5 linked regions of the Cricetulus griseus genome follow. The protein of the gene in region 2 interacts with the protein of the main gene of each other region in a pairwise test. Links are inferred from orthologs where the notes say so. Each region holds a gene or a part of one and is shown on either strand. Other genes may lie near its edges. The genes, in order: Snrnp25, Cpsf7, Smad3, Clk2 and Rbm10.

What was found.
Region 1: the proteins of Cpsf7 (region 2) and Snrnp25 interact in binary tests that used the Homo sapiens proteins (3 or more experiments, as listed by UniProt). The two-hybrid records come from large-scale screens. The link is inferred for Cricetulus griseus from reciprocal best matches to the Homo sapiens genes CPSF7 and SNRNP25.
Region 3: the proteins of Cpsf7 (region 2) and Smad3 interact in binary tests that used the Homo sapiens proteins (3 or more experiments, as listed by UniProt). The two-hybrid records come from large-scale screens. The link is inferred for Cricetulus griseus from reciprocal best matches to the Homo sapiens genes CPSF7 and SMAD3.
Region 4: the proteins of Cpsf7 (region 2) and Clk2 interact in binary tests that used the Homo sapiens proteins (3 or more experiments, as listed by UniProt). The link is inferred for Cricetulus griseus from reciprocal best matches to the Homo sapiens genes CPSF7 and CLK2.
Region 5: the proteins of Cpsf7 (region 2) and Rbm10 interact in binary tests that used the Homo sapiens proteins (3 or more experiments, as listed by UniProt). The two-hybrid records come from large-scale screens. The link is inferred for Cricetulus griseus from reciprocal best matches to the Homo sapiens genes CPSF7 and RBM10.

Annotation. Positions count from the first base shown.
Region 1 is NC_048600.1:46,025,363-46,031,460, reverse strand, and holds Snrnp25 (U11/U12 small nuclear ribonucleoprotein 25 kDa protein), read left to right. Parts: upstream 1-2,492; 5' UTR 2,493-2,677; coding exon 2,678-2,719; intron 2,720-3,575; coding exon 3,576-3,666; intron 3,667-4,193; coding exon 4,194-4,299; intron 4,300-4,821; coding exon 4,822-4,896; intron 4,897-5,201; coding exon 5,202-5,259; 3' UTR 5,260-5,499; downstream 5,500-6,098.
Region 2 is NC_048596.1:49,932,710-49,938,228, reverse strand, and holds part of Cpsf7 (cleavage and polyadenylation specificity factor subunit 7), read left to right. Parts: intron 1-4,204; coding exon 4,205-4,423; intron 4,424-4,681; exon of another isoform or gene 4,682-4,755; coding exon of another isoform or gene 4,756-4,758; intron 4,759-5,244; coding exon 5,245-5,348; intron 5,349-5,519.
Region 3 is NC_048597.1:175,171,269-175,177,553, reverse strand, and holds the end of Smad3 (mothers against decapentaplegic homolog 3), read left to right. Parts: intron 1-1,115; coding exon 1,116-1,328; intron 1,329-2,092; coding exon 2,093-2,230; intron 2,231-3,052; exon of another isoform or gene 3,053-4,217; coding exon 4,218-4,564; 3' UTR 4,565-4,974; downstream 4,975-6,285. UniProt on the Homo sapiens protein: Receptor-regulated SMAD (R-SMAD) that is an intracellular signal transducer and transcriptional modulator activated by TGF-beta (transforming growth factor) and activin type 1 receptor kinases.
Region 4 is NW_023276806.1:65,382,508-65,388,524, reverse strand, and holds the start of Clk2 (dual specificity protein kinase CLK2), read left to right. Parts: upstream 1-2,231; 5' UTR 2,232-2,380; intron 2,381-4,406; coding exon 4,407-4,576; intron 4,577-5,765; coding exon 5,766-5,994; intron 5,995-6,017. UniProt on the Homo sapiens protein: Dual specificity kinase acting on both serine/threonine and tyrosine-containing substrates. Phosphorylates serine- and arginine-rich (SR) proteins of the spliceosomal complex.
Region 5 is NC_048604.1:125,449,700-125,454,018, forward strand, and holds part of Rbm10 (RNA-binding protein 10), read left to right. Parts: intron 1-412; coding exon 413-596; intron 597-696; coding exon 697-836; intron 837-955; coding exon 956-1,073; intron 1,074-1,160; coding exon 1,161-1,252; intron 1,253-1,352; coding exon 1,353-1,517; intron 1,518-3,194; coding exon 3,195-3,344; intron 3,345-3,396; coding exon of another isoform or gene 3,397-3,438; coding exon 3,439-3,504; intron 3,505-3,581; coding exon 3,582-3,770; intron 3,771-3,856; coding exon 3,857-3,931; intron 3,932-4,218; coding exon 4,219-4,319. UniProt on the Homo sapiens protein: Binds to ssRNA containing the consensus sequence 5'-AGGUAA-3'. May be involved in post-transcriptional processing, most probably in mRNA splicing. Binds to RNA homopolymers, with a preference for poly(G) and poly(U) and little for poly(A).

The sequences.
Region 1 (6,098 bases), on a different chromosome or scaffold from region 2:
AGCCACCCTGAAGACAGTGAGCAGGGCATGGTGACTCATGCCTATAACCCCAACACTTGGGAACTAGCTAGTCAGGAGGCTCTACAGAATGAGTTCAGGACCAGCCTTGGCTACATGAGACTGTGTCCCAAAAATAAGAAGGAATGGGTTGGGATAAAGGGAATAAATCATATTACATGAAGCACTAACTAAAATAGATCTTCTGGAGTTTTGCTATAAGCCTTCTGTGAGTACCACATTTGTTATTATTTTTATGAATTACTATTATTATCATTAATTTGGTCCTCACTACTTAGAAGAATGAGCAAAGTCATTTGGGCTCTCGGTTGACCAGATGGATCAGTATCATCTCTCCATTTCCTTTATTTCCTTTTCTAGTGTTCATTGCCAAATACATAATGGAATTTTTTGGGTTGTTTTTTTTTTTTGGTTTTTCGAGACAGGGTTTCTCTGTGGCTTTGGAGGCTGCCCTGGAACTAGCTCTTGTAGACCAGGCTGTTCTCAAACTCACAGAGATCCACCTGCCTCTGCCTCCCAAGTGCTGGGATTAAAGGCATGTGCCACCAATGCCCAGCTCATAATGGAATTTTTATGTAAAAAGTGGCATATTCATCTATATCAGCTAGGGGTTCTAGAGGAACAGAACCAATAGAATTGATGCATAATAAAGGAGTTGTAGCCGGTTAGTGGTGGTGCACGCCTTTAATCCCAGCACACGGGAGGCAGACGCAGGTGGATCTCTGTGAGTTCGAGGCCAGCCTGGTCTCCAGAGCGAGTGCCAGGATACTCTCCAGAGCTACACAGAGAAACCCTGTCTCAAAAAACCAAAAAAAAAATTAAAATAAAATAAAATATATTAAATGAGTTGTATTAGATTGGTTTGCCTGATACAGTCTGGGTATCCAACAACAGCTGCCTGCACACTGCAGAACCCAGTAGGTGCTCAGTCCTCAAGGCTGAATGCCTCTGCAGTTCTAATCTGGTGCTGGAGACCAAGAGAATTCTTGGAGAAACACTGGTCTTCAATCGATGTTGGAAGCTGAAAAGGCTGAGTTCCAGTGTCACTGGAGGACAGTGGGAACAGTGACAGCAACAGAATAGATAACTCATGAACAAAATACAAAAGCAAGCAGTCAAAAAGCAAACTCTTTCCCCTCAGACCACTTTATATTAATATCTAAGCTGCTACCAGAAGATGTGGCTCACATTCCAGGTGAGTCTTAGCATTTCAATTAATGTAACCAAGAAAATCCCAGATACCAGAATGGCCAAGTAGTTATCAGATTTAAGAAAATCCACCACAGGCATGCCCAAAGAGTGACCTGATCTAAATAATACCTCACAGATAAGCCAGAGACTTGTGTCACAACAATTAGGAGCAGTGGCTGCTCACCCAGCACCCAGGTTCAATTCACAGGACCCACATGATGGTCCATACTCTGTAGCTCCAGCCCGAGGGGATCTGACACCCTCTCCTGACATCTGTGGGCATTGCACACGAATAGTGCTTAGAAGAAAAAATGCAAAGCACCCATACACACGCGATTAAAATGGGCACTACAATTGTTACAGGGACTGGTGTAAAAGGGCAACAGAAAGAACAAGAAGACTGGAGACCAGAGACGATGTGAGCAGATGGGAGCCTGGCACTGCTACTCTGTGCAGCACAAAGGACTACGGGTCCCGCCTAGATTTTTTTGTTTGTGTTGTCTTTCGTGAGAGGGTTTACTTACCTGTTGTGGCCCTGGCTATCCTAGAACTAGCTCTGTAGACCAGGTTGGCCTAGAACTCAGAGATGAGTTCTGCCTGCTTCTGCCTCTCAACTGGTTGGACCAAAGGTGTGAGCTACCACGCCCGGCTCAATCTCATTAGGTTTTTTGTTTGCTTGTTTTGTTTTGTTTTTCGAGACAGGGTTTCTCTGTGTAGCTTTGGAGCCTATCCTGGCACTCTCCACTCGCTATGGAGACCAGGCTGACCTCGAACTCACAGAAATCTGCCTTCCTCTGCCTCCCGAGTGCTGGGATTAAAGGCGTGCACCACCGCCCCGCTCAATCTCACCAGGTTTTAAGTGGACCTTTCTGGTCACTTTTTGGAATGGAGCCCGAGGCAGAATCCCTGAGTTGCCGAGACCTGGCAGGGACATAGACTCGGAGGTAGCAACGACTGATCCCGAGCAGCAGGAGGCACCCACTTCCTAGTGTCGCTTTGTGAGTGATGCTGTCCTGGTGGAGGCGGAGGGGGGTATAGGTGTCTTGGGTGAGGCGACGGCAGTACTGGCCCTCCCTGACGACCAGACCAGGTAGAAACCCAGTGGACCCGACTGAATTCTACAACCAAGCACACGACTGCCTGCACATAGCTCCCGCGCTGCCCGCACTGCGCACGTGACCCGCCCTATCCCAGCCTAACCGGCGTTCTCGCACCTCTCATTGGTCACTGAAGTCACGCTGTGCACCAATGACCGAACTACCTCGCCAGGGGCGTGGCGCAGTCACTGCGCACGCGCTGGAAGGCAGGCCCGGCTGAAGGAGCGACGGAAAAGCGAGACTACCGGTAGCTGGCAACCCTGGAAGACCCGGAGCCCGCGGATCGGCCGGAAGTGCCTGAGGACGATGAGGATGATGAGGAGGCATTGCCACATTCCGAGGCCGTGGACGTGTTCCAAGAAGGTCTCGCCATGGTAGTGCAAGACCCGCTGCTCTGCGACCTTCCGATCCAGGTGCGCGACAGGGCTCTGGATGGGCACCCGTGGTCCCACCAGCGAAGGACGCTTCTGTGCATAAGCGGAAAGTTTGGGGTGAGAGGACCCCAAAACACTCCCTCGCAGGCGTGAAAAGTTAGGATTAAACAAATACTAAGATTTTTAACTCAGGAGCAGTGTGACTGGTCTTTTTCCATTTGCCTCAAGCATCAATATGCGTGGGCATAGTGATTCTTTAATGTATTTTTTGACCTTGTCCGTCAAGGGTGTTTTAATCTAACTTCTGTGTCCTCACAGAACTGGGAATCAGACTTGGAGCCTTTCGAATGCTAAACAAGTGCTCTACCACGGAGTTACACCACTTTCTCAACTTTTACTTCCCTCAGTGTTTTATTAAAACATCTGTCGTTACCAGGCGATAGTGGTGGCACACGCCCTTAATCCCACCACTTGGGAGGCGGAGACAGGCGGATCTCTATGAATTCCAAGCCAGCCTGACCCATTTAGAGCTCTAGAACATAGTGTGTCCCTGCCTCAAAACAAACAAAACTATTTTGTCATCACTGGGTTTTGGTAGCTAGTAAATTTGCACCCTTGCCCTGCCTCAACCTAGTCCTACCACACTGCTTGATATAGGACTCTCAGAATCATCAGGCCCAGTGTTCTTCCCTTGTGCAGCTCTGTTTCCATGCATGTTCCTTTGCTCCCTTGTGGGACTTTTTAAATAGAAAATCCTAACCATAGCAGGCAAGAACCCCATATCTGTGCTCTTCATAATACAGGGCACCACTTTGGGGCACTGTCAGCTTGGTTTCCATTGTTATTGTTGGGGTGTTAAGAGAAAGCATCTCCACATCCCTTTGGTCTTTCCTAGGTCACTTTAGAAGAGGTCAACTCTCAGATTGCACTGGAATATGGCCAGGCAATGACAGTCCGAGTGTGCAAGATGGATGGAGAGGTAATGCGTAAGTACCACCATCTTAGTTACTTTTCTCTTGCTGTAAAGAGACATTGCAATCAAGGCAACTTCTAAAAGAAAATGTTTGTGGGGCTCACAGTTCCAGAGGGCTAGAGTCCATGATCATCGTGGCAGGCAGGCAGGCAGGGTCCCGGAGCAGTAACTGAGAGCTTTCATTCTGGTCCACAGGCATGAGACAGAGCTAACTGCAGTAGTGTGGGCTATTGAAACATCAAAGCTCACCCCCAGTGACACACCTCCTCTAAGGAGTGCACACCTAATCCTCCCCAAACAGCTCCACTGGGGCCAAACATTCAAATAGAGAAGCCTATGGGGGCAGTCTCATTCAAGCCACAGCCACCCTTCTCTCTGTAAGCCTGAGCTTTCACAGCAGCAAGGTACTAGCAGAGACCGTGCCTGGGTGTGCTGGGACAGCCACACAGCCACCCTGCCCAACAGAGCAGAGCCCTGGGTTTCTCTCCCATTGCCTGGGGCTCTGTGTGTGGATTCTTCCATATGTGTCCATGATTCCAGCTGTGGTCGTCGTACAGAATGCCACGGTCTTGGACCTGAAGAAGGCTATCCAGAGATACATGCAGCTCAAGCAGGAGCGGGAAGGAGGCATTCAGCACATCAGCTGGTGAGTGAGGCAACAGTACCTTCTGTCATTCCTGGGGTTGTGTGGGCACTACAAGGAGGCAACTTTCAGCTCCTCTTGTGTACACCACCAGTGCTCCTCTTTCGGGTTGGGTAATTCTGTGCCTGAGGGTCCCTCCCCAGTTGTCCTTTCTAAATACCCTTCACTGATGTCACCCTACCCACACTGCTGGATATCGTCACGTGGAAACACCTGACACCTTAATGCCTCCCTAGTTATATATAGGTGGTGTACCTGTCAGTGGCCCCTTCCCTCCTCACCTAGGTGCTGCTGGATCAAGTATCCTGTTATCCAACTCCCTCAGTATTGTCACCTATTTCCTTAGCAAGATGTGTTTGGTACCTCTTGCTAACTGCCTTGGGCCTACCATATACATCATGTAGGGTAAAATGTCCAGAAGGGGAATCTATCTGTCCTGGGTGCCATAAGCTGTATGCTGCAAGCCTCTATCATCCCAGCTGTTTGTTTGGTAGCATGTGCATCACTTAAGTCCCTTCTTTGCAGGTCATATGTGTGGCGGACGTACCATCTGACTTCAGCTGGGGAGAAGCTCACAGAGGACAGGAAGAAGCTCAGGGAGTAAGTCTAATCCACATCCTGAGCTGTAGGTCAGTGGTCCATCAGTGCCTGTGTCCACCAAAAGGCTGTAATAGGAAGGTCCCTAGCTGGATTGACTGTCCTGTGGGCATTTCCTTGGGATTTCCCACTTAATGCAGGGCAAGGAAACAGCCCTGCTATTCTCACAGCAGCCTGGAGCTGCATGAAGGAAACCAGGTGTGGAGGGGGAAGAAGGCTATGGCCATCCTCACCTGATGGTTCCTGATCCCTCAGAAACCCAGTGATCCTTCTGTGAGTCAGACACTGTACCATTCTATCTTTTTCAGTTATGGCATCCGGAATCGAGATGAGGTTTCCTTTATCAAGAAGCTTAGGCAGAAGTGAACCCCAGAGTGACCCAGCAAGATGGTGCCCTTCCCTTGTCCTAACAGGAAAAGATGTTGGGGTAGCTGCATTCCTGAATTGCCTGAGTGGGGTTGTCAGCAGGAGCCCAGAACACTTGAACATGGAAAGTTCCTCGGTCCCTCGCCTTCCTATAAATTCTGCCTGAAGATCCAATGTGGTTTTGTGCCTGGCCTCCAAAATAAACCTGTTTGCTTTGTACATGGACAAATCAAAAAGACACTCTATGTGGTTGAGCTGGATCTGTCCCATATTGGAGGGAGGTGAGGGCAGACACTGGTATTGGGAAGCGCCAAAGTCTCAGAGGCCACACCTAAGCTCTGGAACCATACTGCTACCTCTCTTGCCATGGCCTCATAGTATGGAGTGACACAGCTGAGCAGCTAGCTTTGTTTCTGCTGTGAAGAAACAGGAGCCTGCATCTCGGGGCCTGTGATAGGACCTAGCAGGTGACAAGGATGGAAGTGGAGGCCTCAGGCCTCCATCTAACAGGTTCCCTATAGCCATGTTTCTCCTGGGCTCAGTGAAAAAGACAGCATGGTGAGGAATGAGTTACAAGGGTGCAAGATGCTCCCCACTGTGGATATGCCTGTACTCCCCTAGGTCCATGTCCCAACACTGGCTACTAACCCCACTACAAGACTTCACAGAGAGGTGACAGCCAGTGATGTCTCTGACTTAGAGCAATGGTTCTCAACCTTCCTAATGCTGCAATGCTTTAATACAGTTCCTCATGTTGTAGTGACCCCCGACCATACAATTATTTTCATTGCTACTTCAAAACTGTAATTTTGCTACTGTTCTGAATCGAAATATAAATA
Region 2 (5,519 bases):
TGTGTTCCCCCCACCCCCCAATTCTGAATCTGTGTTGTTGACTGCTCCTAACTTACTTTAGAGAACAGGTGGCAGAATCCTTGTACCATGGGCCATATTTGATCTAAAAGAAAAATTAATTAATAATTGGTTAAGCAATATGACTTGGGAATCATAGACAAGACATAGTTCTTGTCCAGTGGTCACTGCTTTGTCAAGGTAGACATTATTAACCTCAGTAATTTGTTCCTTAGTTGGCTTTGGGGGGGGGGGACGACTTACTGCTCTAAAGCCAGAATTAGTTTGTGGACTCTTGAGCATATATACCAAAAGGGCAGTGTTTGAGCATATATACCAAAAGGGAAAATTGAAACGAGTATAGATTTTGAGTGTCTTATGTTCTGAAAGTTAAGAAAGGAGACCCCATCCCCATAAGTTAATTTTTGGCGAAGCTGGTTTTAGTGTAATCTAGAAGCTGCTAATTGGTTAAAAAGTCTGGGTAGAGTTGCTAAAAGTTGGCTTAGATAGCCAGGTGGTGGTGGTGTATGCCTTTAATGCCAGCACTCAGGAGGCAAAGGCAGACCGATCTCTGTGAGTTCAAGGCCAGCCTAGTCTACAGAGCAAGTTCCAGGACAGGCTTCCAAGCTACACAGAGAAACCCTGTCTCAAAAAAAAAAAAAAAAAAAAAAAAAAAAAAAAAAAAAAAAGACGACGACAAAATTGGCTTAGATGGAAGGCAATCAGTATAAGTTGGATTTTTTAATGTCTTAGACAGTTAATTGATTTGCCCCAAGCTAGCCCTACATACAACTCCCCCAAGCACTTTGCTCCCAAAGGAAAATTAGTGCATTAACTACATGGAACCCTGTATTTGCTTCTGATCTCTGGCAGCATATACTGCAAAAACCTTTTGCGGAGATACTTTATTGATGTGGCATTGGGAGCCCTGGGACTCGAACTGCTCTACTGGACAGGGAAAAACTAAAAAGATGCCTGAGAACTGCTACTCTGCTGAATTTTCTGTTTGTTCCTTTCATTCTCATGCTGAGATGGGCTTTATAGTATGCTTGGTTCTACATCAGGAAGGATTTGAACTACTTCTGTTTACTGGACACTATCAGAGGTAGTGAGTTGTTGGGAGAGTGTAAATCTCTGTGCTCGAAAAGTGATGCCATTCCTAATGGTTAAAAGTAAAAGTGATACTAACTAGGTGTGGTGATACACGTCTATAATTCCAATGCTCTAAAGACTGGGGCAGTATTGCTATAAATTGGAGGCCAGCTTGGCTACAATGTGAAACTGTTAGAATCCATTCTCCCCCCTTCTCCCAACAACAAAAGTTGTAAAATAACAAAATGGATAGTAACAATGCAGAGTAATGGGCAACAGTGATGGGGGAGAGTTGTAAGATGAGGACTATGAGAAAAACATACCCAAGTTAATTACTTCACTGGCTCAGATACCAAGAAGGGAGGAACACTGAGCATATTGGAGGGAAAAATCAAACTCCTGGTAGGAAATTCATGATATAACTGTAGCTTTTTGTGTGTGTGTCCTTGAACACAAAATTCTTACTAAGATATTTATTCAATGTTGAATGCATATTTCCAATTTAAACTTATAATAAAAATTTTAGTGTTGCCACCTATGAAATGTGGGTGTGTTTTTTTAACTTGTCTTGTAGGATGGGTGGGTTTTTATTTCAGTTTTTTAAGTCAGGTTTTTTTGTATCCCTGCTGTCCTGGAACTCACTTTAGACCAGGCTGGCCTCAAATTCAAGAGATCCTCCTGTCTCTGCCTCCTGAGTGCTGGGATAGAAGGCATGCGCCACCATGTCCAGCTCACTTTTTAAAAACAGTTCCCATCCTCTGTTAGACCACTGAAACTTGGAACATTTAAATTTATTGGATTTTCTTTCTGAAGTGATAATATATAGAAACAAGGTCCTCCAGGATTGAGCCTATCTTGTTCTTGCAGAGATTATGGAAGAGCCCATTGATTCCCTTAAGCTAACAGTGTGAAAAGGTTTCCACTGATAATGTTTGCTCTGTAAGTTGAAATCTTTCTATTGGCTCACTGACTTTTTTTATCTAGCCAGTTTTCAGGGATGGCTTTGTCTTACAAGTTTTAGATACGTCTCTGAATCACAGATGCTGCATAAAAGGATTCCTAATTTTCTGGCATTGAATACAAAATAGTTATTTCCTTATTGTCTTTTAAGTTTCATTTGAAAAATCTTTCTTTCCCCTTTAAAAAACCTTGGTGGGTTGTATAAAGTCTAGTTGTCCTTAATATCTTTGGGGAATTGGTCTCAGGTCTTCCTCTTTAATAAAATATTCGGGTACTTAAATCTAAAAAAAAAAAAAACTGCGTGGGCCTGTAACCCCAGCTACTGAGGAAGCTGAGGCAAGTTCAAGACCAGTCTTAATAACTTCACCAGACCCTGTGAAGTTATTTAAAATTTAAATTAAAAAAAAATATATCAAAAGATACAGTTCATTGGTAGACCTTGCCTAGCATGTTCAGAACCACTTGGAGGAGGTATTTTTGCATATAAAATCTTTATGCATTCCTTCCCCATGCTTTAAAAACATCTCCAGATGATGACAATGATTATTTCGGCTTTGCTAAGGGTTGAATACAGGACTTTCCTTTTGCTAGCAAGCACTCCATCCCCATAGTTTTAATTCTTTTAATTTATTTTTATGCATATGAGTGTTTTGCTTATGCATGTCTGTACCCCATGTACATGCATTGCCTTCATCGGCCAGGGGAAGGTGTCTGATCCTCTGGGACTGGAGTTGTGAGTTGCCAGTGGGTTCTGGGAATCAAACCCAGGTACTCTGGAAGAGTGGCCAATGTTCTTAATCAGTAAGCTATATATCTTCTACCCCATCTTTAAAAACTTAGGATGTCTTCAGTTGATATTTGTCTGGTTAAGTCTGTAGATGGGAAACTGACAGGTATAGAGAGCCAAGTATAATGATTTCTGAGGGTTAGAGCATTGAACAGGATGCTCTAATTGGGAGGAGGAAGTTTTTTGTTTGTTTGGGATTTTGGTGATTTATGTACATTTTTACATTTGTTTTGTATATGTATATGAGTATGATGACAAAACTTTTCTTCCACTGAGTGGGTCAAGGTAATTGAACATGCATTAAGTCATCTCACTGACCTTTTATTTATTTATTTGTTTTTTAAGATGGTCTGGTACAGCCTGTGCTAGTCTCAAACTCTGTATGAAGCTGGCTGTGAACTGCTGATCTCTGTCTCTACCTCCCAAATACTGAAATTACAGTCACATGTGCCACTATACAGTCTTTGGTTTGGTTTTTTTGTCTTTTGTTTTTTTTGTACTATACCCAGTCTTAATTTGTACCTCAAAATATAAGGGAAAATCATTGTACCTGATATTTGACATGTAAATACTAGGACTCGAACCCAGTGCCTTCTTGTGCAAGGCAAGCACTCAGGTACAACTGAGCTATATCCCCAATCCTCTACTCCATGTGTTTTGTTTGTTTGTTTGTTTTTTGGTTTTTTTTTGATGTTTCTTAGATGGTTATTAGAAAGTTGAGATTGTATTCTTTTTTTGGTTTTTCGGGACAGGGTTTCTCTGTGTAGCTTTGGAGCCTATCTTGGCACTCGCTCTGGAGACCAGGCTGGCCTGCCTCTGCCTCCCGAGTGCTGAGATTGTATTCTATGAGCTTGAAAATTTCCCTGATCAGTTGTATAAACCAAAGGGTAACTCAGTGTTTTGTTTTGCATTTTATTGCCTACTTGCTTTAACATTCTTTCCCCATGCTTTATATTTCTGAATAAATGTACTCTTATTAAATGTAACAATAGTGGATAGCCTGATATTGAAAATACATTTTTATTAATATATTTTAGATGTTGTCTTTGAATCTGATATTGTTGTTGACAGTAGCACATGTATCTAATTGTTAGTGGTTTGTTTGCTTATTCATTATTTGCCTTCTGATCCTCACAGGAGGCTAAGGTCAGAAACTTGCATACTACTAATAGTCTTGGAAATTTTATAAGCAATACTAAGAGTTTCTAATCAGGAATTCTTTCTTACCCAGTTTCCTAGAGTGGGACAGGGAGGTCTTGTCCATTTCTTTACAAAGCATTTAACTATTGATTCTAAGTCAACTAGAATGAAGCAGAGGAAACAAATTGAAAAGTTTGAAGACTCCATTGTCAATCCCTCATCTTTTAGGACTCGGAGTTCAACAATACAGATCAGATTGACCTGTATGATGATGTGTTGACGGCTACCTCACAGCCTTCAGATGATAGAAGCAGTAGCACTGAACCGCCCCCTCCTGTTCGCCAGGAGCCGTCTCCCAAACCAAACAACAAGACCCCTGCAATCCTGTATACATACAGTGGCCTGCGGAGTAGACGAGCAGCTGTCTATGTAGGCAGCTTCTCCTGGGTAAGCAAGGATAACCAAAAGTCTTATGGGTGGGCTGGAGGGAGAGCACTGGGAGGTGATGGCATTTTCAGAAACCACTGTTGCACTGTTTTGTGCTCTGATGGGGTTGGATTTCTTTTTCCTGGGATCAGGTTGGATTGATCTCTGAAAGAGAACTATCCTGAGGACGTACTGGTGCCGAAGAAAGCATTGATTAAGTGGGTAGTTGCCTTTTCTGCCATCTTATTACTGCCCCTGACCCTGGGGCTTTATGTCTAGCAGGGTCATCTGTGGGACGAGATTTCAGAGTGAACACCTTGAACTCTTGGTGGTCATTAGATGGTCCTGTGCTAATGGTGGGTGATGGGGATCAAAGACCTTGGTAGCTCTAGGGTACTTGGGGTGTGCATTGACTGTTCTGTAAAAGTTAACTGTGGGACATGTTTTTGGGCTGGTGGTGGGGGATGCCAAATCAGGAAATGTATGTACTAATGGGAAAGTTCCTGGCATGGTCAACTCTAGCCTGTCAACAATTATAATTAAAGTTGCTTGCAGTCTGTTTGATTTGATGATCAACCAGCCCACGTGTCAGTCAAAATTTAAATAAATTTCTGTCTTAATCCCCAAACATAGGGGCTGTGGGATTAGATGGGTTTAGAAGTCAGGACAATGGGGAAAGCCTGCACTGATTGAAATATTACTGGGCTTTAGGGTTTCCTGTGGGCGGTCAGTGGTTGTGGCTGGAGTCCTAGATGTGGGAACAGGACTTGGGACATCTGGGTGGGTGGGTATCAGGCATGTTGCTCTTGACATTTCTCCCTTTTCCATCTTGCCGGCCCCAGTGGACTACAGACCAGCAGCTGATCCAGGTTATTCGCTCTATAGGAGTCTATGATGTGGTGGAGTTAAAATTTGCAGAGAACCGTGCAAATGGCCAGTCTAAAGGGTGAGATCTGGATTTGGGTGGTCTCCTTTAGTTTGTGACTGTTAGGGTAACAGATCTGTAATGTATTTGAACTTGGATTCCAATTCCTTTCCACCCCAGCCTAGCTTACTACCTTGGTTTTGACACATTGCTATAGATTGAGGACCTAGCTGGATTGAAACTGATTTTGTG
Region 3 (6,285 bases), on a different chromosome or scaffold from region 2:
TGCCAAGCCATCCCTATTCCCTTCTCATGGGAGCCCGATGCAGAGGAGGAGTGGGGACTCTAGGACCTGACAGTCAAGTTGGATGGTCAGGATACTTAGCCTGCACAAAGAAACACAGAATCACCAGGCGGCTGCACGAATACTTGGGAGTATTCCAGAGTGAGGGTATAGATCTGAGATGGGTGACAGGGAGCAGGCGGTGGACTTGAAGCTCCTCCCCAAGGCCAGCAGGACAGCTACAGTGTGGAGGAGCATCTGGAGGCCATGCTGGGCACATGCAGTCCTATAGGAGGCTGTGATGTGATGAGGGGCTGTTTTAATTCCACATGGGTACTGAGACATGAAGTGGAAGGCTGGACCATGTGAGAGGACTCCTTTTTTAAGTCGTCCTCAGCTATCCTAGGAGAGAGTTGGCCTTCATGTGGCTAGTCTGCCCTGAGGAGCTCCCAGCTGAGAGGCTGTACAACCACAAAAAAAATCTGTTTCTTTGTGTCCCATTGTTCTAACAGCTATCAACTACATAAAAGATGGGCCAAGGTTTCTGTTGTGAGACACATGGCCCTTCCTGTTCCTGATTTCTGGTCTGCTTGTTCACACATGAAGTGCAGCTGAACTCACAAGGCCACTGTGGCCATGTCATTACACATGACAGATAACAAATTGCTCCTCAGGCCGAATGACACCAAAATAAAGGCCCTTTGGGAGGCAGAGGTTGACATGGGCTCCTTTGAGAATCTCAGAAGAGAGGCTGGGAGGTGACTTTGTAGATGGCATGACTTCATACCACATCTAGAGCATACTTAGGGCTGCTCACAGTGCTGGCCCTGGTGCTGGCTGGTCCTGACCCATTTCATGTTTGGGCTAGCCTGTCTCTAAAGGCTGCTTCTGTTCATAGGAAGGGTAGACTCTACGGAGCAGGGTATGTGTGGGCTCCGAAGAAATGGACTTGGTTTGCTTCCCTTAGAGGCTGGCAGGGTCTCCCTCAGACTCTGAGGATCTCACTTGCTGGTACCCTGAAGGGTTTGTGCAATGGAAGTTGGGGTCAGGGATCAAAGGATGAGAGCTTTCAGAGCTTCCCTGGGTACCCACTGACCTGGCATACTCTGTTTCTGCAGACCTACAGCCAGTGACCTACTGTGAGCCAGCCTTCTGGTGCTCCATCTCCTACTACGAGCTGAACCAGCGAGTTGGGGAGACATTCCACGCCTCACAGCCATCCATGACAGTAGATGGCTTCACCGATCCCTCCAACTCAGAGCGCTTCTGCCTGGGCCTGCTGTCCAATGTCAATCGGAATGCAGCTGTGGAACTTACTAGACGGCACATTGGTAATGAGTCACCCCACCCCCACTGCTGCCTCCTGGGGGCACTGAGACTCCCTAGCACCAAGTACTGTTGGACCCAGATGAGAGGAGGTGGGAGTGTGGGGTACAGCTGCAGTAAGGGTCTGGACAGGCAGTGTGTAGATGTCACCTGGTCCTACAAGGCTCCAGTCTTCAAGTTGAGCTGTTTTCTTGCACTCTGGGACTCCTAAGCATAAGGGGACATCCCCATTGGGAAGAGCTCAATGTTTACATAACCTCTGGAGTGCTGAGCCAATTGAAAATTAATTTCTGTCCATCTGGAGTAGATTTAGGTGATGAAGGAAAGCAAGAGTTGCACTAGGAAACCATGCGCAGGGAGGTCCCTTTGGCAAGGGGCCAGAGGGCTGATGCCTCAGTAGCACCCTGGCATCACCAAGGCACTTCTGTGACTTTTGGGGGGGAGGTGGAGCTAGAGCAGTGGGGCGGCAGCAGCTGTCCCTCACCAGGCACCATTGCAGTCGTCACTAAGGTAGGTTATTATGGCTGTCCTCTAGACAGCTCAGGTCTGGGTAGTGGTAGAAGCTGGGTCCAGGCTCCTTCGTGTGCCACCTATTCCAACTGCTTTAGGAATTCAGAGCTGCCCACCATTCTCCCACTTGGCTTTGGGCTGGGCTCTAGGCTCCTCTTGTTTGGAGTAGCCACTTGCAGCTCTGTCTGCTGCCCCTCCCCAGCTTGCCTTGTTGCCCTGTGGGGTGGTCTTTCTGACCCTGTGTCTCATGACTCCCTAGGGAGAGGCGTGCGGCTCTACTACATTGGAGGGGAGGTCTTTGCAGAGTGTCTCAGTGACAGTGCTATTTTTGTTCAGTCACCCAACTGCAACCAGCGCTATGGCTGGCACCCTGCCACCGTCTGCAAGATCCCTCCAGGTAAGCCCCTGAAGTGCGGCCCTGGGGTCACCACCCGAGGCATGCCTGGGAAGGCTTCCTTGCCTTTCCTCCACACTGGTGTCCACACTGTACCTGTATAGACTCTTGTGTACCACTGAAGCTCATGAGAACAGAGGTAGCATCTAACAAATCTGTAACCCAGGGCATGGCCCTTCACCCACCAGTGTGAGGTGATCCCTTTCCTTTACTCACTCCTCCAAACAGAAGAGTATTTGGGGGTCTGTGACAGGAACTGGGGCAGGATGGGGAAGGTGCCCCTTCTGTACTCACAGCTTTACAGTGTTTAAGATGAAGACAGATGAGTGTTGACACACAGAGGGCTGTAAATCCCAGGCAAGCAGCTGATGGGGAGAAAGGGCATGTACTTGTGGGATGGATGATCAGGGAGGACACCCTGGAGGAGACATTAAGTGACAGGAGATGGTGGGGTGAAGTTTCTGAGGGCATGTGGCAGGGAGGACACTGAAACAAGGGTATAGAAGAAATGCAGGGTTGGACACTGGCTGGATGTACCATATAAAAGTTAGATGTTTAAAAGGCATTCTGGGCCTGGGATGAAGTGATAGTTTGGGTTTTATTCTGGGGAGTTGAGGGTTTTCTGAGGATGTCTCATGGGTCCCAAGAACTTGTGGGCTGGACCCCACCAAGGAGGAAAGCCAAAGTACTCCTCATATAGCAGGTGGCCTGTGTCAGGCCATTGCCTGGGACACACGTAGCTAGCTCCTCTTCCCATTTGTTGCTTAGTAGGGGACAATGGAGTAGTGGGCTGTGGGCAGAGTAAACCAAAGAACTCAGACAATCTCAGCCAGGAATGGATCTCTGCTCTGGCAGCTTTTGTGGTTTTATTTACAAAGTTCACATCTCTGAGCTCACACTTCCTCTCTAGCAACCCCTGTGGCTCTAAGAAAGGCTAGGGAAAGAATTCAGAATGAGCCACACTTACTTCTCCAAGTCCAAGAGCTGGGAAGAAGCCACAGTAGGCCTGAGCCGTGGAGAGCTGGCTGACTAGCCTGGTGTTCAGTCTTTTGGCTCAGCTAGGGCTGTAGCCCCAGGAGTGGGTGTGGTCTGTGCTTTGGTCTACCCACCTTCCCAGGAGCATGCAGGGATGGAGGTGGAGGGGTGGTATTCCTAGCTTCTGCCTTTCTGCTCCACCTCCCTCCCTGGTGAAGGCTGAGTATCTCTGGTTATATCATGTCAGCTTAGAGTCTGTCAGGGCCCTGACGATCAATCCCCCTCCCCCTTTTAAAGGGGACACAGGATCACCAGAAGAGGCAGGGCAGAGTCCACAGCTGATAGGGTCTGTGCTGGTTTTCTAGTTCCTGGGCCTTGCTCTCCTGGCACCTGGGCAGTAGGACTTCAAACAAGGTTTATTTTCCATGTTATTTGTGCCCATCTCCAGCTGCATTCTGGAGAATTGGGTACATTGTTGTTGATGTCACTGTGGCCCAAGCTTGAATCAAGACATCACTATGTGACCCAGCTCTCTTCCTTAGCCCCAACATGAGGCAGGGCCATCAGAGGAGCCAGGTGGAGGATGCTTCTGACTCTCGCAGTAGGCCCCCTACCCACCTCACTGCACCGATGAGGGAGCACCTGTCCCCAGGTGGCTACCACACCATAAGGCATTGGCAGCTAGGCTCAGGTCCCTTGCCTCTCTGAACCCTAGAGTCCTGCCTCAGCCTCTCCAGAAGATCCCTGCGTCATCCAAGTCCACTTCCAGGCTTCCTTCTTAGCATTTGACATCCCCACAGCTGGAGGATGTGGGCCAGCCTTTAGTGTCCCTTGTACATGCTTCTCCCTGCAAGGGTGTACCAATCAAGTGTAGGAATGGGGAAGCCCCCTCCTTGCATAGGGATGAACAGAGCAGGGAGCCACTGAGTGGAACCACTATGTGCCACCTGAGGCGTGTGAATCAGGCCATTTGGGCATTTCCAGGGTGCTTTATCTGACTATCTGTGGTTGGCAGGCTGCAACCTGAAGATCTTCAACAACCAGGAATTTGCTGCCCTCCTGGCCCAGTCTGTCAACCAGGGCTTTGAGGCTGTCTACCAGTTGACTCGCATGTGCACCATCCGTATGAGCTTCGTCAAAGGCTGGGGAGCGGAGTACAGGTCAGTGACTAAGGAGCTCTTGGCAGGTGGTGGGGAGGAGCCAACTCCAGGCAACTGGCCTAGGTCCCTCGGGGACCAGGGAAAGCAGGTATGGTGGCCAGGTATAGCAGCATGGTCTTTGCCTGGTGCTCAGCAGTTCTTAAGCTTGGTCAGCATCTCCAGGCCCAGCGTGGGGACATTGGCATTATTCTTTCTCTGCTAAAGCCTAGGGAGGGAAAAGAACATGCATGAAGTTAAGTGGAAGAGACGTTCCATCCTGGCCTCTCCTGGCTGCCGCTGTGTTTTCTGTCTCTCTGGGGACAGACTCTCAGGGTGACTGTCTCCCTGACACTACCACTGGCTCCATCACTAGTAAACTCAACAAAGGAGATGTGAGTGTTTATAAAGGATTTCAGTTAGCACTTTAAATATAGCACCAGTAATACCCAGGCCTACCTGGTCTGCTCAATTGAGGCCCTCAGACGGTCTAGACTGGGTTTAATGAGAATCTAGTCTCCTTTCTCCATATTGGACAGGAGCGTTCTGGGAGGCAGGGCTACATGCCCTTCTGCTCCATCCCTCCTCCCTAGCCCCCAGAGCAGACAGACATAGAGGTACCCACACATCAGCTGCAGCCAGCGCCTTGCGAGTTCCTCACCCCTTCTCTTCATTTTTCCAGATGTTTGGAATCAATTTTGTTTTGCAGTCATTCTGCACCCTAGCCAAACCCATTTCAATATTGGCTCTGGGCCACCATTCGTAATGAAATCCCGATGAGCATGACTTATGGAAAGTCGTATTCTCAGCCGAGGATGGAGGTCTGTAAAGCCCAGCTTCTCCATTAAGATCTTAGAGCTGCTGTTCTTTCGTGGATGCCTCATGGTGCCAGGGAGCAAAGCACTTTGGGCCCTTTAATCTGAAATCCAGGGAGGGTGACCAAGCAAGCAACCCAAGTGGTTAGACTGCGGAAGAGCCTTCAGCCATGTTATGATGACCCGGCCCAAAGGTCTGGCTGGAGAAATGCCGGAGCCAACCTTTAGTTCAGGATTTAGATCATTTAGGGAATGAGAGTGAAAGGTTAGAAAATTAATTTGTTAGTGCAAAAACCCCAAAGGAAAAGAACTGGAAGGCCCACTGCCTTCAGGCAGACACCCCAGGCTGAGCGTGAGCCTCCCTATTCAGGCAAAGCCCATGATGATCAGGGAGGGTCAGGATAATGGCCCTGGATGTGTTGGCAGAAGCCCCTCTCTAGGGCAGTGTATCACCATGCAGGATACCCTGCCAGCACACCCCGTCCTACACAGCTTACTGCGTCACTGCCGCCTGGCAGCATGGCATAGCAGCCTAGTGGCGGGTGCGGCCCCTTCCCAGAACAGCCATGCCCTCCTGCAATGTGGGCCAAACAGAGTAAGGTTTCAGGCTAGTTTTCTAAAGCAGCTGTAAGTGGGCCTGCGGCCCAGGTCTCACCTCCAGCTGGCACCCGCATGTCGCCACAGCAGATAGCCTTTGCTCACTGGAGGCTTCTGGGAGCTTGCCTGCAAGCTGCGTCACCAAGTAGTCTGAATTTAGACAAAGTGCTTTGGAGGCAAAGAAATGTGTGGTGTGCCTTGGTTTTTCCAGTAATTGTTCCCCCGCTAGTTCTGCTGGTAAGATTTTCCAAAATAAGCTGTAGATGGGATTATAACAGCTCACTGGGACCTGAAGCATGTGGGCTCTGTCAGTGCTTTGTAAAAACACTCTCCATCAGACAGACATGTCGTGAAAACTGTGGGGCTGACCCAGATCTGGAGAAGGGCTGCAGGTACCTACCCATTGGCAGAGCTGGGAGCCAGGGAGACCTTCATTCTGGCAGGTCACACATGGGGGAACTGACCTTCTTTCTTTAACTCTTTGAGGCCATCTCCCTTCCGCAGTACCTGACTTACTCAAAGCCCTCCTCGACTG
Region 4 (6,017 bases), on a different chromosome or scaffold from region 2:
AAACTGCCTCTGGGTTTGTCTCTGTCACTGACGAATCCTTACCCACCTATTCTTCAAGAACCCTCATCCCAGGGACTCCCATACCCGGCTGGGGGGGGTCCGTGGCAGACACCATTATTTGTTTACAGGTCTGTGTCCTCTCCCATTCAATCCTCAGACTGAGGCTCTGAGGAAAAAGAAACTTGTGCTGAGTACAAGGCTGGGCACACAGTAAACAGTCAGTAAATGACCTGGGAAAGCATCCCTGAGAAGGAAATTAAATTGCTTGCCCAATCCCCTCCTCCCCCCCCTCTCTCTCACACACACACACATCTTTTGAGACAGGTCTTGCTATGTGGCCCTGCCTGTCTTCAAACTCATTACGCAGATCATGCTGGCCTTGAACTCATGGAGATCTGCCTGCGTCTGTTTCTATTCTAGAGTGCTGAGATTAAAGGTGTGAGCCATTGGGCCTGGCTCTCTTTCTACATAGGTAATTTCTAAACTATTTCTGGTTAATTAGTCCAATCTCCATCTGACTATTCTCCCCCACTTCTACTCAGATTTTCCTTAACTTTAATGTATTTATTAAATGAGGGTTGTTTCCCTTCCAATTCTCCTTTCTGACAATTTCCCAGTTCCTTTGTATAGTATTGTTTTCTATTTCCTGTTTTTTTTAAATACATATTTATTTTTATGTGGATGGGTATTTTGGCTTGAATGTATATCTGTATACTACATGCATGCAATGCTTGAAGAAGCTGAAGAAATATTGAATGCCCTGGAACTATTACAAAACTGATATGAGCCATCATGTGTGTGCCGAGAAAGGAACCCAGGTCCTCTGGAGGAACAGTCAGTGCTCTTAACTGCTGAGCTATCTATCTCTCCAGCTCCTCAAATGAATAAATAAATTTAAAACATAAAGGTTTGCTTTTGAGATAAAGTCTTAAGTATCCCCAAGATAGCTTTAGAGACGTGTAGCCAAAGATAACCTTCAACCACTGATTTTCCTGCCTCCACTTCTCACGTTCTGGGATTCATTCATTACATGTGTAAATTGTGTGTGTGTTTCTCTAGCCAGTGCTTGCTGGATAACAGGCAACTACTCTATCAATTGGGCCACATTCTGAGCTAGTTTCTCTCTGAGACAATCTCACACTGTAGTCCCTGCTGGCCTTGAGTTTTTCAAATCCTCCTGCCTCAGCCTTTTGAGAACTGAGATTATGGGCATTAGCCATCATGGTTAACTTCTTGTTCTTTTTTAATATTTAGTAAACTGGAGCTGGAGAGATAGCTCAGTGGTTAGGAGTTCGAACTGCTCTTCCAGAGAACCCAGCACCTACAACTGCCTGTAATTCCAGGTGGGGGGGGGGAGGAACCGACGCCCTCTTCTGACCGCTATGAATACCTGCACTGACATGCACATAATCTGCTACAGACAAATAATTTAAGGTATATCTAAAAACAAGGAGAATAAAACACCATGCTTCCCAATTCTGGCCCCCTAATCCTCTTCTTCCCAGGCCATGTACCTACCCCAAACATAAATGACTTTTGTGCAGGACAAAGAGGGACCTCTCCTAGCTGGCGTTGGGCAGCAGAAGTTGTATTCTCCTTTTTCTTTTTCTTTTCTTTTCTTTTTGTTTTTTTTTTTTTTTGAGACAGGGTTTCTCTGTGTAGCTTTGGAGATCAGGCTGCCTCAAATTCTCAAACTCACAGAGATCCGGCTAGGAGGTTGTATCTTCAAGCTGTGCTTGAAGAATCTGACTTCAGAAAGCCTCACTGGAGTCGTTTGCCCAAAAGTGATACAATGTAACTACCAACGCTTTCCTTAAACATCCAATTTAAAAAAGACACTAATGTCTTCGGGTAAAGAGCAAGAAGAAGGCCTGAGAAAGGATAAGATGCGTAGCGGCCCAACAAACACGTGACAAGTTCCTAGTGCCGCACTACCCGAGCCAAAGGGCGCACCCAGAGCTTTGCGAACTCCAGGGAGTGCCGGCTAAGCCGAGGAACACACCGAAAGGCCCCCGGTGTGCGTGGGCGGAGCCCATCAGAGTCTGGGAAGTGACGCAGGACGTGCGTGCGTACGTGCATGCGTGCGTGCTCGCTCGCGGCAGCGGCGGCGGAGCGGAGAGGCCAGAGCCGGAGACCGAGCCGGGATCGGGCCCCGGGCGGGGGCGGTGCGAGAGGCGCCGAGCGGATCCAGGGGGCGGGGACGGAGCCCGGGCGGGCGGGACTGGAGCAGAGCCCGGGAACGGGGCGGGAGGTCCCAGGGCCCCGGGTTGGGGGGTGGAACCGCACTTCGTCGCCGCGGGGGTGCCGGGACTCCGGCCGCAGTGCCGCCGCCATCACGGACTTCCTGTGGGACAAGCGCACGGGCCTCGCCGCCAGAACGGTGAGCGCGCGGGCTGACGGACCTTGGGGCCGCGGAAAGATGGCTACCACCAGACGGGCGGCGACGGGATGAGGCGAAATTAGGAAGGAGTGTTGGGCTCTGGAAGCAGCAGAGTAGCGCGATAAGAGGGAGGGAGGTGGACCTGCCTCGCTTAGCCGGGAGACCTCTAGTAAACTTGGAGGGAGCGGTTCCATACGTGCAAAAGTTGGACTAGGGCTTTAATACGAACCGAGAAGTGTCACTGGAGACACGATGTTCAAGTTGAGAAAAGTTAGGCTGGATTTGCTTTTCTAAGAAAGACCCGAGTGACTTTGTTGGTAGGGTGTCCTAAGTAAAATGGCATTTAGGTTAATCAGTTTAATCAAGATTGAGTTACCTAGGGAAGTTTCCTGCTTCATCTTCTTGGTTTTCTGCCAGTCACTTTAGGCCAATGCACTGTAGGTCACCTTCCTTACTTTAAGAAGGTTGGGAGGAAGTGGCCCAGAATGGCAACCAGATGTTGGCGTTAAACCTGCAGACCTCATGTCCTCAGTCCTGGATCAAGGCTGTTCCTGAGACTCCTCTTACTCAGTTTGTCCTGTGCTTTTCCTGAATTATGACAGTGATTTTTGCTCTGAGTATTTCCTTTGACTGAAAAATTACTCATAACTTTTAACCGGCCCAGTTTTATTTAATGGAGGAGGCCCAGCTGTCAGCCAAGTAGTACTGATACTAGTTTAAAACTAGTTATTAGGCTGAGGATATAGCTCAGTTGATATGGTGGTGCTCAACTAGCATTCATGAAGCCCTGGGTAAGCCAGGTATGATGAGGCTGCTCTTATCTCTTCACTTGCAAGTGAAGGCCATCCTAGGTGACATAATCAAAATTGAGGACGGGGCTGGAGAGATGGCTCAGTGGCTAAGAGCACTGGCTTCTCTTCTGGAGGACCTGGGTTCAATTCCAAAACCATGTGGCAGCTCACAACTGTCTGTAACTCCGGTTCCAAGTGATTTGACACTCTCACACAGACATACATGCAAGCAAAACATCAATAAAGTAAAACATTTTTAAAAATTGAGGGCAGCCTAGGATATGTTAAGTCACACTTCCTACAAAAAGAAAACAAGCCAAATGTGGTTGTGCAAGCCTTTCAATCCCAGCACTCAGGAGGCAGAGACTAACAAGATCTCTGAGTTCAAGTTCAGCCAAGTTTGTATAGCAAGTTCCAGGCCAGCCAGGGTTACATAAAAAGATCTTGTCTCCAAAAAAAAAAAAAAAAAAAAGCCAGGCACACATGTAATCTTAGCACTTGAGAGGCAGAGGCAGGCAGATGTCTTGAGCTCAAGTCCAGCCTGGTCTACAGAGATTTCCAGGACAGCCAAAACTACAAAGAAACCCCATCTTGAAAAGCCAAAAAGAAAAGGCAAATCCCAATTATTTTTTACTTACTAAATACAGTGGTGGTGGGGAATGTACAACTACTTTGTGGTACTGTTTTATAACGTCAGAGATTTAGCCAGATGTCTGAGAGACATTTATTTATAGGACCACACCCTGGTCCCTAGAACTTGCTAGTATTTGTAAGATCCTGGGAAACTGAAGTCCTGCCCTTGTGGTACTCCTAATCTAGTAAGGGGGGAGGGATTTGCTGTTAATAACTAAAACAGCCATGTAAACTGAAGCTTTACTTTGTTTGCTTGTGAAGAATTTGGGACAGCAGAGCTTCATAACTTCGATTGCAGCAGAGATGAACTGTGGCAATATTTATCAGACACACTTGTTACCTGTCATGAACTGTGGCTCAGACCTGACGGTCTTCATGGAGCCATGTTTGAGGTAGAGCAGTTGAATTTGACTTTCTTGAGCTTTCAGCCAAAATTTGTAGGTGGCTGTATAATCCATAAAGCAAAAGTTGTAAACACAAAGACTGAGGAATCTGTGCTAAAAGGCATAGAAGGTGGCTTTGCATCTTCATAAGCACACAGATCCAGAGAGCTTCTAAGAACTCAAAAGTGTTCCTACCATCTGCTTTTGCTTCCCTTCTAGATGCCTCATCCACGAAGGTACCATTCCTCAGAACGTGGTAGCCGGGGGAGTTATCACGAACACTATCGGAGCCGAAAGCATAAGCGAAGAAGAAGTCACTCCTGGTCAAGTAGCAGTGACCGGACAAGGCGGCGGCGGAGGGAGGACAGCTATCATGTTCGGTCCCGAAGGTGAGGCCTCAGGAAGAGAGACTGACTCCAGGTCACTGGTTTATTCATTTATTCAATAAGTGCTTATTGGTTACATGCTGAAGCCAGTGGGCTAAGTATGTACTTCTGTGGCAGAGCATGTACTTAATAAGCATTTGGTCCTGAGTTCACTTCCTGGCATTACCCAAAAAAAAAAAAAAAAATGACTCCCATCACTTGGGATGACACAAGGAGGGTTACAAGTCCACTGCTAGTTTGGGCTTCATACTGAGTCTGAGGCCAGCCTGGTCTATACAGTTCCTTCATACTGAGTTTAAGGCCAGCCTGATCTATACAGTTTCTTTGAGACTCTCAAAAAAAGAATTTTTCTGAAAGGTGCTTTTGTAGAGGAAGTACTTAGGGGTGGAAGCTGTACCCCCAGGCATTGTTGGAATGGATCTGGACCTGTGTCGTTAAGGAGAAACTTACCTTTTTTTTCCTTAAATTTTATGTGTATGAGTGTTTTGCCTACATGTCTGTCTTGGATTACATGCATCCCTGGTAGGTACCCTCATTAGTCAGAGAGGGTATGGGATCCCCTGGACCTGGAGGTACGGATGGTTGTGAGCTTCCTTCCATGTGGTTGCTGGATTGCACCCAGGTCCTCTGAAAGAGCACCTAGTGCTCTTAACTGTTGTGCTATTTCTCTAGCCCTTTTGTGTTTGTTCCTGAGACAAGGTGTCACTGTGTTACCCTGGCTGGCTTAGAACTTTCTGTGTAGACCACATATATCTTTCTCCTCTGCTGGAGTGCTGGGATTAGTGGTGTGTGCCACCATGCCTGACTCAAGGACAGCTTTTAAGAAAGGGTACCTAAGCTTGCCTGGTGGGGCAAATGCGAATCAGTGGTAGAAATGTCTTCAGGGGGCAGGGCCGCACATGCCATGCTAAAGAGAGCTCACGAGCTACATGAAAGTTAGGTCTGTGGGGTTTTAATAATTCAGTGGTATGGAGAGGAGTGGGTTGGATTGGAACAAGGCCAAATTTCATTTGGAAACATTAGAGAGCAAACTGGTTCTTTGTTCCTTGTGTCATTGGAGAGGAGGAGGAGCCCCCCACCACCACAGAAGGGATACTCCCATGGCTCTTTTCCCTAAGGTAGGACCATGTTGCATGGTGGCAGGGAATGTGGCCTGGCCTGATATTCCTGATGGATATTTGTTATCCAACAGCAGCTATGATGATCATTCATCTGACCGGCGGGTATATGATCGTCGGTACTGTGGCAGCTACAGACGCAATGACTATAGCCGGGACCGTGGAGATGCCTACTATGACACTGACTTTCGACATTCCTATGAGTGCCATCGGGAGAACAGCAGTTACCGAAGCCAGCGCAGCAGCCGGAGGAAACATAGACGGCGGAGGAGACGTAGCCGCACCTTCAGCCGCTCATCTTCAGTGAGTGCCAGCCCAGGCCTTTA
Region 5 (4,319 bases), on a different chromosome or scaffold from region 2:
TGGTAGAGAATAAAGACTAGGAAGATGGGAAGGTGTGGTGTGTACCTATAATCCTAGCACTGAGTGGGACTGGGGGCAAAGGCAAGAGGATCGCTACACGTTCCAGGCCATCATGGGCTACATAGTTGTGGGAGGGAGGGAAGAGGAAAAATGAAGAGATTGAGGGTGTCTTGCTTGGTCTGAGGCCTAACACATACCTTATCAGGATCAGCCCAGGGTGGGGGGGCCATTTGAACATGTATCCGTTTTCTAGTCTCTTCTTCCTCCACTGTTGTTGTCAGGACCCCTTGCTCTTTACTACCTTAAGGCTGCATGCTTTTCTATCAAGTGGAAATGCTAGCTCCATGTGTAGGACAGATACTTCTAGCAGATGTCTTCCCTTATGCCCTGTCATCTCTCACCTGCCCCTCAGGCCTCCCAGGGTGGAGAGAGTGCCTGGGCTGCCCCTGAGGAGACTCCAGTTGACTACAGCTACTATCAACAGGATGAAGGCTATGGCAGCAGCCAGGGCACAGATTCCCTCTATGCCCATGGCTACCTTAAAAACAGCAAGGGCCCTGGCATGACTGGGACCAAAGGAGACCCAGCTGCTGCAGGTGAGCCTCATCCTCTCTTGCTGAGCTTAATTGTGGGGCCTAGAAGCCTACTGTCTTATGCGCTAACATTCATGGGTATTCTCCTTGGTTTTCCTTTCAGGTCCTGAGGCCTCCCTTGAGACTGGGGCAGACTCTGTGTCACTGCAGGCTTTCTCCCGAGCCCAGCCTGGTGCTGCCCCTGGGCTTTATCAGCAATCAGCAGAGGGAAGCAGTAGTCAGGGTACAACTTCCAACAGCCAAGTGAGGATAACATTGATTGACACTCTGGGGAGGCTGGTGGGCTGGCAGGGTGCATCTTGAGTGGGCAGGAGGGTATTAACAGACACTGAGTTGTGTTCCCTTTTGTGACCCATGAGCAGTCATATACCATCATGTCACCTGCTGTGCTCAAGTCTGAGCTTCAGAGTCCTACTCATCCCAGCTCTGCCTTACCACCAGCCACCAGTCCCACTGCCCCAGAGTCCTACAGCCAGTACCGTGAGTAGCCATACATAGCCTGTAGGTAAGGGTGTGGACTTCTCCAAGCAAGGAGGAATTTGACAACCTTGTCTTTCCTCCCCACAGCCGTTCCTGATGTCTCTACTTACCAATATGATGAGACATCTGGCTACTACTATGACCCCCAGACTGGTCTATACTATGACCCCAACTCCCAGGTAGGTGACGGGGTAGGCTAGGGAAAACTGGACTGTGGTTGTGTGGCAGCTAGCCCTAGAGGTCCTCCCTCATGTCACCTCTTCCCATTCTCTTCCTCAGTATTACTACAATGCTCAGAGCCAACAGTATCTTTACTGGGATGGAGAGCGGCGGACCTACATACCTGCCTTGGAGCAGTCTGCTGATGGACATAAGGAGACGGGGCCATCATCCAAGGAGGGAAAAGAGAAGAAAGAGAAGCATAAGACAAAGACGGCCCAACAGGTGAACCTCCAGCCATCATCTCCTGTTTGGAGTCTGTGTTCTGTCACCTCCTGCCCTCTTCAGCTTAAAGGAAAGTAGAGTAGTGGGTGGGAATGGACAGAGGTTGTAACTGCTTCAGAAAGTAAGGACTCTTGAGCCAGATCTATTTTGGGAGGTGGGGTACTGTAGCAGGACTACCTACCACCATAAAGTGACTTACACCATCTGAGTGAGCTCTGGCAGCTTTTCTCTGCCCCTCGAAGGTAACCTTCATGCTGCTGGTGGATGTCTGTTGATCCAATATAAATTCTCGTAGGCTTATATGAAGTTGATTAAGAAACATTGCAGGGTTTTCTATAGAGAGCAGTTAGAGAGAATCTCATTGCCTCTGTAGAGAAAGGGTATAACATTGAAGCACAGCACTTAGAAGCAAGCAGTAAGTATTCCCTCAGCAACCTGAGGAATTCATAGACTGGAAGAAACACAAAGCATTAAACTTGACACCATGTCACATGTCTTAGGTTCCTATTGCTATGATAAACACTGACTAAAACCAACATGGGCATGAAAGGGTTTTTCATCATGAACAGAAGTCGAGGAAGGAACCTGGTGGCAGAAACTGATGTAGAGACCATTGAGGAGTGCTTCTTACTGGCTTGCTGTCCGTAGCTTGTTCAGTCTGCTTTCTTACACAACTCAGGACCACCTGCCTAGGAGGTGGCACTGCCCACAGTGAGCTGGGTCCTACCACATTGGTCAGTAATTAAGAAAATACCCCAGAGACTTACCAATAGGCCAGTCTGTTGGAAGAGATTTCTTAATTGAGAGTTCCTCTTCCCAGATATGTCTAGGTTTGTATCAAGTTGACAAAAACCAACCAGAACATCACACATAAATTGAAATTATATACAACCCTAGGGGTGTGGCTCGGTGGAAGAGTGCTTGTCTAGTATGTTACAAGACCCAGTTACTTCCCCATTCCCATACACAAGTATGTAGTTCTCTGTATTTAGAAAGTAAAAATGAAAGAACAAATAATGATACAAGTGCCAAATCAGAAGTTGGGGTTGCAGCCAGGCAGTGGTGGCCTTAATCCCAGCACTCGGGAGGCAGAGGCAGGTGGATCTCCAAGGCCAGCCTGGTCTACAGAGTGAGTTTCAGGATGGCCAAGGCTACACAGAGAAATAAACCTGTGTCAAGAAAGAAATAGTTGGGGTTGTAACCAGAGAGGGGCTTGAAAAGGATCCCAGGCCAATACAGAAAATAGGATCTTGTACCAACACCTTTGCCCCACTGCCCTTCTGACCCTGCTTGCTCAGTTGTTATCTGCCCACACTATTTCTGCTGCTGCTTTTGCCTTTGCCTTTGGAAACTACATGGAGTAGGTGGGAGGCAGGGGAATGTTTGGAAACAGTCAGTAGAAGGAAGGGATCCTTGGCATGAGCTTGAGTTTATTTTAATAAGATGGTTTGGAGAAGGTGGAAGTATTTGGGCATGGTTTATGGTTTTTAAAGGAATGTTCTACAAGGATGAGACCCCAGAGCCAGGTATACACAGCCTTTTACAGTGGTTGAGTTAAGAAAGGTACCAGACTTGAGGCTACAGGGCGGGAAGGGCTACTATTGCAAGGGTCATGGGTGAGAGAATAAAGCCCCAAGTTCGAGGAATTCTGGGAACTTTAATCCCCCCCCCCCCCAGATTGCGAAGGACATGGAGCGGTGGGCCCGCAGTCTCAACAAGCAAAAAGAAAACTTCAAAAACAGCTTCCAGCCTATTAGTGCCCTACGAGATGATGAGAGGCGGGAATCGGCCACTGCAGATGCAGGCTATGCTATCCTTGAGAAGAAGGTGTGTTGTAACTGTCCATCTGTGCCCCACCTACAATCTCATTACTCCTTAGGGTCCTCTGGGGAGCCCTGAATTTCTGTGTCCTTTACCTCAGGGAGCGCTAGCTGAAAGACAGCACACCAGCATGGATCTCCCAAAGTTGGCCAATGATGATCGTCCAGTGAGTTGTCAGAGCAAAAAGGGCAGGGGTCTCTGATCTCAGCAAGGCTGCTGATTTCCCACCCTCACTGTCTACAGAGCCCACCTCGAGGGCTGGTGGCAGCCTACAGCGGGGAGAGTGACAGTGAGGAGGAGCAGGAGCGAGGGGGTCCTGAGCGGGAAGAAAAGCTCACAGACTGGCAGAAGCTAGCCTGCCTGCTCTGCCGCCGCCAGTTTCCCAGCAAGGAGGCACTCATCCGGCACCAGCAGCTCTCTGGGCTCCACAAGGTAATTGAGCAGAGAGTTGGCAGGATAGCCTGTGTCTAGCCCATTTCAGCCCAATTGCTTTACTCTTCTTCTGTCCCCCTCTACAGCAAAACCTTGAGATTCATCGGCGAGCCCACTTGTCAGAAAATGAATTAGAAGCACTAGAAAAGAATGACATGGAGGTGAGGTGTGACCCACTCCTGGGCTCCATTCCATCTTCCCCTTCCAAGTCCCTGTCACTCCAGGCAGTAGGACTTAAAAGTTCCTTAGCCAGGTACAGCCTGACTGCCATCTGTTTTCCTGTTGATGGGAGACTTCTTCCCAGTTCCCATGCCATTGTGTCCTGACCTTCAGGACCTAAGACTGGGCCAGACAGAGAGACCTGTATGCCTCCCCCCAGCCCCATCCATGCCTATATCTGCTGAAAATAACAGCCAATTCCAACATCTTCCCGTGCACTAATTTGTAGCAAATGAAGTACCGAGACCGTGCAGCTGAACGCAGGGAGAAGTATGGTATCCCTGAGCCACCAGAGCCCAAAAGGAGGAAATACGGTGGCATATCTACAGC